Saccharomyces cerevisiae S288C: one gene and its partner. The gene in region 2 interacts genetically with the main gene of each other region. Each region holds a gene or a part of one and is shown on either strand. Other genes may lie near its edges.

Evidence for each region. A genetic interaction does not mean that the proteins touch.
Region 1: mutations in MSS2 (region 2) and MTH1 together harm fitness more than expected from each alone (negative genetic interaction), as found in Saccharomyces cerevisiae (2 studies listed by BioGRID).

Annotation. Positions count from the first base shown.
Region 1 is NC_001136.10:1,013,901-1,017,222, reverse strand, and holds MTH1 (Mth1p), read left to right. Parts: upstream 1-1,520; coding exon 1,521-2,822; downstream 2,823-3,322.
Region 2 is NC_001136.10:261,980-270,476, reverse strand, and holds MSS2 (Mss2p), read right to left. Parts: upstream 1,557-8,497; coding exon 501-1,556; downstream 1-500. Other genes in the region: PHO2 (Pho2p), read left to right, coding at 1-255; TFIIH complex serine/threonine-protein kinase subunit KIN28, read right to left, coding at 1,778-2,670, 2,752-2,779; YDL109C (putative lipase), read left to right, coding at 3,276-5,219; TMA17 (Tma17p), read left to right, coding at 5,513-5,965; exosome non-catalytic core subunit RRP42, read left to right, coding at 6,367-7,164; TRM3 (tRNA (guanosine(18)-2'-O)-methyltransferase), read right to left, coding at 7,252-8,497. UniProt on the Saccharomyces cerevisiae protein: Required to stabilize mitochondrial cytochrome C oxidase subunit 2 (COX2) and to translocate the C-terminal domain of COX2 through the inner membrane.

The DNA.
Region 1 (3,322 bases), 750 kb from region 2:
ACTCCCCGCTTCGGAGTTTCTTTTTTATTTTCTAGAAAAATTCACATGCTGATTCATTTACCGTTACTGTTTCACTGTGATGCTACTAGTCATATTCTTCTTATATCAATTTTTTTTCTATTGCTGTTTGCATTACCGCAACATACGATGGGAATAAACAGCACAAGCTGTTGTGTACATTTTTCCTCATCATATAACTACAATGTACATAAGTTAGCTTGAAAAAATTCTAGGTCTCATATTAATGCTTGAAATATGGAAGTATGTCGAATGTTTTATAAATAAGTCGAGAAAAATGGTTATGCTACCAGCTAACTTATATATATATAAGACTCTTTCATTCTTTTCTTTGTCTCTCAAACTTATATTTGTTTACGTTTTGGAGGAAAACTAATTATTTTTTTAATAAAGTAAACATAGCATTTCCAAGGTGCAAACCGATCCCTACCACCAAAATAAGCATACAAGACCGTTACAGCGTTAAGACAAAACTATGCTTCTAGGGGGGGGGGACAAAGCAAGGAAGATTAAAATGAATTCTTCAACTTAGGGGTACTTTAAGAGAAAGAATTCAATACTTGCGTTAGCTGACCACCCCATAGTTCGTTTAGATAAGGATATGGTGTGAAATTCATAGTTGAAGACTCTTGAGGAGGTAGGGAACATCTCTCTTCGCCCACCAAACCCAGTTTTCTCTAATACTCCATATCCAAAAAAGTGTAGCTCTATGTACATTGCCAAGGTTTTCTACTGATCAATATTTGATGGAAAAATATGACATAAGGTATGCGTATTAGTAAACTATTAGGGAGCCGCCGGTACTAATAACATCAAGGCCATCTCACGCCGAGACTTACTTGGACTTTTCTCTATTGTAAAGCGGAAAAAAAGTTATCACCCCGCCCCCTCCTCCGCTCCTCCACTAAAACGATCAGCAAATGGCAGAATAACGCGGTACTAACCAGTTTTTCCGTTCCTTGAAACCCAGTCATACTATGAAGTCCCTAAAATTATTCCGAAATTATTCCCTAGAACAAGCGGGAAAAAGGTCCGGGGAAATGGAGTCCGTGCGAGTTTTGTTAGGATGACTGCCCCACACATTTCCTCATCTTATAATTTTGTGGAAAAATTCATCGTGAGAGAAAATACGAGTCCATTTCTCCAGTGAAACTACCGTAGACATGGAATATCTGCCATTCTACCCCTTATTCAAGTGCCTTTTTTTTTTTTTTTCATCCCACATTTTATTGCTGCCTCAATCTCCATTAAGAAAAAAAATTTATATAACCAAATGACATTTTTCCTTTCTTCTCAAACTTTGTAATGCGCCTGTAACTGCTTCTTTTTTTATTAAAAAACAGCATGGAGTTTTTTAATAACTTAAGGAAACATACAAAAAGATTTGTTCATTTCACTCCAAGTATTTTTTAACGTATATTGAAAGTTCTCAATAGCGAAACCACAAGCAGCAATACAAAGAGAATTTTATTCGAACGCATAGAGTACACACACTCAAAGGAATGTTTGTTTCACCACCACCAGCAACTTCGAAAAACCAAGTTTTACAACGACGTCCATTAGAATCGACTAACAGTAATCATGGGTTTGCAAGCTCCCTACAGGCCATTCCGGAAAACACGATGAGTGGCAGTGATAATGCTTCTTTTCAAAGTTTGCCACTATCAATGAGTAGCTCTCAATCCACGACTTCTTCGAGAAGAGAGAACTTTGTGAATGCTCCTCCGGAGTACACTGATAGAGCTAGAGATGAGATTAAAAAAAGATTATTGGCCTCCTCACCTAGCAGAAGGTCACATCATTCAAGCAGTATGCATTCAGCGAGCAGGAGATCAAGCGTGGCTGAAAGTGGGAGTTTACTTTCGGATAATGCCTCGTCTTATCAATCAAGTATATTTTCTGCCCCCTCTACTGTGCACACGCAACTAACTAATGACTCTTCGTTCTCCGAATTTCCTAACCACAAGTTAATCACGAGAGTGAGCCTGGATGAAGCATTACCCAAAACGTTTTATGACATGTATTCGCCAGATATTCTATTAGCAGACCCATCCAACATTCTCTGTAACGGGCGTCCCAAGTTTACCAAGAGAGAGTTATTGGATTGGGATTTAAACGATATAAGATCGTTATTGATAGTCGAGAAGTTAAGGCCCGAATGGGGTAATCAACTACCGGAAGTAATAACGGTGGGTGATAATATGCCCCAGTTTAGGTTACAATTATTACCACTATATTCTAGCGATGAGACCATAATCGCAACGTTAGTCCATTCGGATCTGTACATGGAGGCTAACTTAGATTATGAATTCAAACTAACCAGCGCCAAATATACAGTAGCGACCGCTAGAAAAAGACATGAGCATATAACTGGTAGAAATGAAGCCGTCATGAATTTGTCGAAACCGGAATGGAGAAATATCATCGAAAATTACCTCTTAAATATAGCAGTAGAGGCACAATGCAGGTTTGATTTCAAACAAAGATGCTCCGAATATAAGAAATGGAAGTTACAACAGTCCAACTTAAAAAGACCGGACATGCCCCCACCAAGCATAATACCGCGGAAAAACAGCACAGAAACAAAATCGCTTCTGAAAAAGGCTTTATTGAAGAACATTCAGTTGAAAAACCCCAATAATAACCTTGATGAATTGATGATGAGATCAAGCGCCGCAACAAATCAACAGGGAAAAAACAAAGTCAGCTTATCTAAAGAAGAAAAGGCTACGATATGGTCGCAATGTCAGGCACAAGTTTACCAAAGATTAGGATTGGATTGGCAGCCGGATTCAGTATCCTGAAGATACTAAAAAGAAACCTTCCCGATGGTTTTTTTGGAGACTCTTCGATTGTATCAATACTATCCCATGGACATCAGTTTTAATAGAGGAGCTCCAAATTCCCAAGGAATTGAGGAAGAAGCGCCAATGATTTATATATACAAACTAGCTGTTGCAGCTTTATAGAGATTTAGTAATAAGAATTTTATGGGAACGTGGTACCGTTATCGCAGTAAAGAGTCAAGGGTAGCGAAGATCAAACCATACGATGACGAAATACCTTTAGTTCTTAGCATCACCAATCGCAGACATCCAACGTATCCGTGCGCGTAATCCTTCTCTTGGTAGTTGAGCACAGCATACAGAAGAAGCCGCGCGCAAGCGGTAAATGTCTTTCCTCCGGCCTTCTAACCACCAAAACCGATCTCGGAACATGGGGGGGGGAAGGTCCTCTGAATCGAAAAACCCGAGACAGCGAGAGGGATTTTGCAGAAAATTACAAAGATCACTATTTACTGCTC
Region 2 (8,497 bases):
GGCTCTAATAATGGACGTCAAGCTAGCAAGGATGATACGCTCAATTTACTGGATACTACCGTCAACAGCAATAACAATCATAATGCTAATAATGAGGAGAATCATCTAGCGCAAGAACATTTATCCAACGATGCTGATATTGTTGCAAATCCAAATGATCATTTGTTGTCTTTACCGACTGATAGTGAACTCCCAAATACTCCAGATTTTTTGAAGAACACTAACGAACTAACTGACGAGCATAGATGGATATGATGAAAATAATTCTGTTTTTTTTTTTTTGCGATTGCATTTTCAACTCTAAATATTACTCTAACAGTATTTCCTAATTATTTCATAGGTAACATTGTATGACATTTTAATTTTATTGTCCTTATTATTTTACTTACTTAGCTGACTTTTTTGAACATTATCAGATGGGTATATAGATATTTACAAGCTCGCGTTATAGGTGGAGACATGTGTCCTTATATAAATCGCAAAAAGAATCGATCAGACATTTAAAGCCGTGCTTTGTCCAGCAACTTTATGGAATCTTTTCTACTTTCAAGAAAGACATTTATCATTGTTTTCTTGTCTTTATCATTCCCTAGCTTTTTTACGCTTTCTAGGCAATCTCGTGCACCTTTAAAATTCTCTTCTTTCACACAGCAATCGAAAAATCCAAAGAAACATTCCAAGTCCATTATTTCCATACCCGTTTTGAACCATTCTTTCGCCCTTTCATAATTATTGAAATAGTTTAATTCAAGAAATCCTAATGTTTTAAAGCATTCTTTAAATCCAATTGATGCACAATTTTCTAGCAAGGCTTTGGCTTTCATGGGCTCTGAACTCATATATAACCTCGCTAACAGAAAGTACCAACGTGAACTTCTTTCAATTTCCAGCAGTTCTATACAACTCAGCCATGACTTTTCTGCCTTCAAAAAACCATTGACTTGCTTTATTTGGATTTCCCCAAGTTTTCCGTGAACTTCGCCTGCCAATTTGGTACTATTTTCCAATTTCAAGAACTCTTGGTAATATTTCTCAGCCTTATCGTAAGTTTTGTTTTCGAAAAACAGGTCCCCTATTAATTTAACCGTTAAATGATGGTTACGCGCATACAGCTTCTTTATGAATTCATTAGCCGTTTCAATGTCTTTTTCATAACTGGATTTGACGTTTTCCTTTTTATATTCATGTATCACGTTGAAGCTTAGGATGGATATAGCATCGTTGTTGCCAAGTTCGGCAGCAATATTCAATAATTTATCCTCCATAGCTAATAAGTCTTTGTGGACGAATTTGTTCTGCGTCCTTAGAGTTATCAAGACGTTTCGCATCTGCATAATGTCTGAACTCCTTATATAGGGGTATTTCTTCCTCCATGGGATATTCTCTTCATTAGTATTTTGTGATACCTGCAGAAATATCGGGTACATTTCATGGTATGTAAGCCTTGTATCTAACTGGAATAAAATTTTGTTAACCGTACGTTTCTTCGGGAAAATCTCTTGAAACTTTTTGGGTACTGGTGGTGTGGAAACAAACTTACTGACAAACCTCTGCATATTTTAGATCAGATATTTCTTGCTTTTGTTTTCGTTTTCGTCTGCTACTGTTTGTCTCCCCTCATATTGTTGTTGTTAAAATCTAAAAACGAATTCCATAATGATGGAAAAGAGTTAAAATTCAACACCAAAAAACAAGACGCATCAAGAAGTTTATTTGTATATGTTGAGGATACATCTAATGTCAATAACACAGATTCTACAAATTTTATAAAATCATATCAGTTACGTATTTTTATTGAAGACGGGTCACTTGGTGGTGGTAATTCTTTGAAATAATCACTTTCTAAACACTGAACAGCGGTCCACCTCTTTTGTGGGTTCATCGTTAGCATTCCACACATAAAATCTAAGGCGTATTCGCTAGCAGCAATGAACCTTTTCCTCAATTCATCTCTTGAAGGGGGCGGATATATTTGTAACTTGTTATACGTCATAAAGGAAGAAACTTCGGGCCAATCTCTATCTGTAGGTGTCCCTAAGGCCCTGAACGTTACTTCCATTTGATCGACATCATTCTGTCCTGGTAAATAAGGTATCCTTAGCATTAATTCCGCGAATATAACGCCTACTGACCAGATATCAATAGCCGATGTGTAATGTTTAGCTCCAAACAACAATTCTGGCGCTCTATACCATCTTGTTACGACGTTACTTGTCAGTATCTCATGTGGGGCCGGTATCGCCCTTGCTAGACCGAAATCTGCTACTTTTATCTGGCCATCAGGTGAAAATAATAAATTGTTTGGTTTCAGATCCCTGTGCAAAATGAAATTTCTGTGGCAATGATACACGCCCCTCAAAGTCATAAGCATCCATGCCTTAATATCTGCTGGTGTAAACAGTATTGATTTGTCTTTTATTACCACCTCTAGATCAGTTGGTAGGAACTCCAGAACGAGATTTAAATTATCATAAGCCATAAATATGTCTATTAGTTCTATGACGTTCGGATGCTGCATTTCTTGGAGGTACTTAACTTCACGGATAGCTGACATATCTAAACCATCTTTAAATTCGGATGTTTTGATCTCCTTAATAGCAATCTTTCTTCCAGTAGAGTGTTGACAACCCAAGTAAACAACCGCATAAGTACCCTCACCAACTTTCTTTTCTGCGATGAATCATCATTAATCAACGTTAGTATCATTATTGAATGTTAAAAGAAAGACGACAATATATAACCCCCACATACCCTTTGTGTACTCCATATTCACTTTCATATGTTCGCTCTGAGGCCGGGAATATTTTTTTTGATGACTTTTAAGTAACTGTGATTTCACTTGTATTTTTTTTCAATGTGTTTTTTGAATCTACTTGTAATATTCTCTGCACAATGCTTCAAATGAAGCTTCACATCATAACACAAAAAAAATTGTAGGTTCATCCAATGGACGAATCTTTCTTAAGGCTTATGCTTGAAGACCATTTCTATATACCAAAAAATTACAAACTGGCAAGATTGATGTCTTATTGAAACTGAAAATCTTTCAAATTAGAGGGTGATTTTCAATTACAATTGACAACTAAGCCGACTTCCCCTGAAACCGCTTCTGAATTCTTACAAATTTCTCTTGGAGGATTTGTTCAAGGTAGTGTGGTATGTTTTTAGCGTATTAACAGCAAGCGTTGTGTCTGCAAACAAAGAGAAAAAATATCAGTACAAAAAATGCTCACCTGACCTTATTCACCCAAAAACATCGGGGAAACGGTAGTAATATGGAAGCTGGCAGGAGTGCTGATGAAGTGCTATACCACAATCAGTCGTCAGTAAAGTTAGGTGAGTTAGAAAGATACGTTATTACATATGAGCTATACCAGGGTGATAGTATTCCCGCTGATATCACACTGGATTCCCTATGGGTAAAGATCAAAAATACCACAAAGCTATCCTATAAACCAGCCTATCTATTGGGCCCATTTATCTTATATTGTGACGTGCGAGCAAAAGATTACGAAAGCTCGTATAAGATCATATGTTCGGCGGATAAACCAGTATTTCAATCAAACCTACAGGCACAACAAAAGTTTATTGCAGAGTTGTCCTTGCACCACATTAAGCCACGCTATGTATGGATAGTGGATATTGTCAGTCAAATACTATTTAATAAAGAAACTAAGGTAACTTTTGAGATAGTAGTCGGCAATTCAAAGGCCTCTTTGAAAAGAAAAATACGATGTAATGATTCATTGCCTGATAAAGCCTGCAATATTTTACACACAGGATTATCGGTGCATAGACTTACCACCGCAGATATATGGAAAGTACCACGACCCATAGACATGTCGCAAAAATCCCATTTAGTCATTCTCACGCATGGTTTTCAATCAAACGTTTCGGCAGATATGGAATACTTAATGGAAGAAATATACAAGGCTCAAATGAACAATCCAAATGAGCGACTAGTTATTAAGGGATATATGAAGAATGCTTGTGAGACTGAGAAGGGTATTAAGTTTTTGGGTGTTGGATTGGCAAACTACATCATCGACGAGTTATATGATGACTCTGTTGGGAAAATTTCATTTATTGGTCATTCCCTGGGTGGATTAACACAAACTTTTGCTATTTGTTACATAAAGACCAAATATCCATATTTCTTTAAGAAAGTGGAGCCAATCAATTTTATCTCACTGGCGTCACCATTGCTAGGCATTGCTACCAGCACGCCCAATTACGTAAAAATGTCATTGTCGATGGGTATCATTGGTACTACGGGGCAAGAACTGGGTCTTAAGGATGGAAATTATGGTGATAAGCCCCTACTTTACCTGCTATCCGAGGAATCCTTAATCAGTGTGCTTGCTCGATTCAAAAGAAGAACACTTTATGCTAATGCCGTCAACGACGGAATAGTTCCCTTGTACTCCTCTTCTTTACTTTTTTTGGACTACTCTCAATTACTTCAGAAACTGGGAGGTCAAACTACGGCACCTTGTGATCCTCTCTTCCAGCCTGAAGTAAGTCCTATTGGGGAACTTCCAAATCATAGCGATGTTGCTAATGATGATGATGGAATCAATGCATCGTCATGGAACACGTTTTGGAAGAGCAAGGAAAATAACTGCGACAAGAAATCTAAACGCTTGATGAATGCTTCCGTCATCAAATCTATGAAGTCTGTGCTTCTATCACCATGCCCCGACGCAAAGTTCTTCTCAGATCCCGATGCAAGGGTCGCAACAATCATACATGATAAGATCTACACAGAAAAGAATTTACCGCCTCCATCACCAACACTTTATGAAGGAACAGCAGCCAAGGAAGGCGAAACGAGGAAGACGAGAAAAGAGATGGAGGAAATCATAGCACGCCGCTGGCACAAGGGGATGCATTGGAGGAAAGTCGTGGTATTGCTGAAACCAGATGCCCACAATAACATCATCGTAAGAAGAAGGTTTTCCAACGCTTACGGCTGGCCGGTGGTTGACCACCTTGTTACCGCCCATTTCCAAAGAGATGACCCAATCGCCTCACCAATGCAAGATAAACAGTTTGCTGAGGAAGATATAAACATGGCAACCGGAGGGGTGGAACCAAACAAGTTCTACTCATGGCTCACCAAGATCGAGGATCCTAGTGTGTACCATGGTGGAATAGTCTCCACAGCTAGCCAGCTCGCCAGCTCCTGGATTAGCAAGCATTCCTCTGTGACAGATTGACTGTCTATCTTGACGTCATCCCGGGATTGACTTGCAATTTACTATTGTCCACACCTACGAAAGTCCATTTTACTTCGTAGTTCGATAAATGCGCTTACGGGTCTTTTTCGAGCGGGACAACTCTTCAGCTCCTCCCCTAAAACCGAGGCCGAATATCCCTTCTCCATATAAATAAGACACTTTTCACCAGGAAAACAATACTTCAGAAGCTTATTTCTCTTGACAAAAAGAGGGGTAAGATCTTTATAAAACATAAAGCAAATCAAAACATAATAACTACTACAAGTAACATAATGTGCTCAGCAGGCGGTATCAGAAGACCAATCCAGATCGAAGAATTTAAGACGGCGATAAGCGGCATGTCCGACATGGAGTTGGCACAGATTAAAACAGAAATTGAGAACAGTATCAATCATTTGCAGAGGTCTAACGCCCGCTTGGGTAAATACATAGCTAAGTTGGAGGGTGCTGACGACCGTCTTGAAGCTGACGACAGCGACGACTTGGAGAACATTGATTCGGGAGACCTGGCGCTGTACAAGGACTCTGTCAGGGAGAACGAAATTGTGCTAAACAATTACAATGAGAGAGTGGACGCATTGGAGCAAGAAACGGTATATAGAAAGACGGGCCATGGCAAGAGTAAGCACGAGGTAGAGGCAAAGGACAACACCAACAAGGGCCCTGACGTTGACATGGACAATTCAAATGTGGACGTCGTGACACCAAACAGCATATTCATTTAAGAGACGGGATTTAGTTTTACTGCGCATCATTTTCACGTCATACTCTTTGTCTCTCTGTTCTATCTCTTCGTATAAATATTTCAATAACTCCATTTGTCTATTCTATCTACCCGTTCTATCCTTACTACTAGATATCTTAAAGAAATAATAAAATAAGTAAATACAAAAAAAACTCGCTATTAATAATTTATCTCCGAAAGCCCTAGGGTGTGCTTTTCTTCCGTGCCCTAGTCTATTATTTTGAACCCTAGTTGGCGAAATTTTTTTCTAATATTCAGAAAAAAGAAACGTAGAGCTTATATGGTGAAGGAGTACAATGATACTAATAGTCTGTAGACGGCAAAAGGCATTCTTTTTGACTAGCACAACGACAGTTTGAGATTCTGTTGAAATAATCATTTATGTCTCTTTCGGTCGCCGAAAAGTCGTACCTATACGATTCACTAGCAAGCACGCCTTCAATTAGGCCCGATGGAAGACTACCTCATCAATTCAGACCTATAGAAATATTTACTGACTTCCTACCAAGTTCCAATGGATCGTCCAGAATTATAGCTAGTGATGGAAGTGAATGTATCGTGAGCATTAAGTCCAAAGTTGTGGATCATCATGTGGAGAATGAACTACTTCAGGTCGATGTAGATATCGCAGGCCAAAGAGATGACGCGCTGGTAGTAGAGACAATCACTTCTTTACTGAACAAGGTTTTGAAGTCTGGTAGCGGAGTAGATTCCTCAAAGTTGCAATTGACAAAAAAGTACAGCTTCAAAATATTTGTCGATGTTCTGGTCATTTCATCACATTCACACCCAGTTTCTTTAATATCCTTTGCTATTTATTCAGCGTTGAACTCCACATACCTACCGAAACTTATTTCAGCTTTTGACGACTTAGAGGTGGAAGAACTTCCTACGTTTCATGATTACGACATGGTTAAGCTTGACATTAATCCGCCTTTAGTGTTTATATTGGCCGTTGTAGGCAACAATATGCTATTGGACCCTGCAGCCAACGAAAGCGAAGTGGCCAATAATGGCCTAATCATTTCCTGGTCTAATGGTAAGATTACATCACCTATCAGATCAGTAGCATTGAATGATTCAAACGTTAAAAGCTTTAAACCTCATTTGTTGAAGCAAGGTCTTGCAATGGTGGAGAAATACGCCCCCGACGTAGTACGATCACTGGAGAATTTATAAAAATATAGTCACAATTAGATAAAAAGACAAATTAGTTTACATACTAAAAACTTCATGGTTAACAAAAGTGGGAATGAAACCTGATTCTTACATGTGTTGAACTGTATAGGAATGAACGATAACTGCGGTTGCCGTTTGAATATTCATTGATCTGATCACACCAAATTGTTGAATCTCTAAACATAAATCCAATTCGCTTAACAAAGTCCCCGGAATACCGAATGCTTCGGTTCCTAGCAAGATCAATGATTTTTTAGGGAATTGGAAATTGTTGTCTAGCTTCACTGATTTATCCGTTTGCTCTAGCCCAATTAATGTGTACCCTTCCTTCTTTTTCTCTTTCATGAAACTTGCAATCTCATCTAGGGCAACTTCCTCCATGGGCATCCATCTATCAGCAGTCACAGCAACATTTTTAAATTGAGGATGGTTTTTGACTTTGATGTCTTGTACAGTAAGCAGTCCCACACCTAAAACATCACATAACCTACAAATACCTCCCAGGTTTGGCGGCTTATCAACTAATGAAGATACCACAATCAATTCAGAACGTGTAACGACATCATTCGATTTTTTATTGTCCAGATCCAGAACGGTTTCCCAAGCTCCACTTTTTGTTTGCAGTGGAGAAGTGTCACAGGAGATGTTCGCGTTGTTAACAGATTCCGTATTGGTGTCTCTTTTATCAAGCCATAAGGACCTTTCATCGGTACCTATAGGAACAATATCTTTCTCCTGCAAATATTTTTCGAAAACAGACTCAGAAATGTACGGGCAATCATGGTCGGTAACTTTTTTGAGCACACCACCAAACATGTTCGTTAATTTCCTATCACCCTTCAGATCCCATATGTTGGCATCCCCGGCACGATATTGACCAAATATTTGAGTCTTTTTGGCATTGGAATATAAGTTCTCAATGATGTTTCTCAGTGTGTGATCCGATAGGTAGGCTTTGAATGTAGGCCATAATGAAATTATTAGAGAATTAGAAAAATGCCTTACCAGAGGTTTGTTTGAAGCTGCGTTAGGAACTAACGTGCAAATGAATCTGTCTAGTAACTGTGTAAATCCATATTTCTTTTCGTCGTTTCTTAAATCTTTCAACACCATAAAGCATATTTTTTCTGCGCTAACTACAAACACCGGTTTGCTATGATCCTCCAGCAATGAGAAGAGATAATCCTCAGCAAATTTTGGATTGCCAGTTTTATAATAATCAACAACCTTTGAGGAAATGAACCATTCTTTATATACTCTTACTAGTGGTGAACTTTCATCCTCGATACTCTTTAGAATTCTGATCATGCTAGTTTCGCTTAATTTTTTTTCA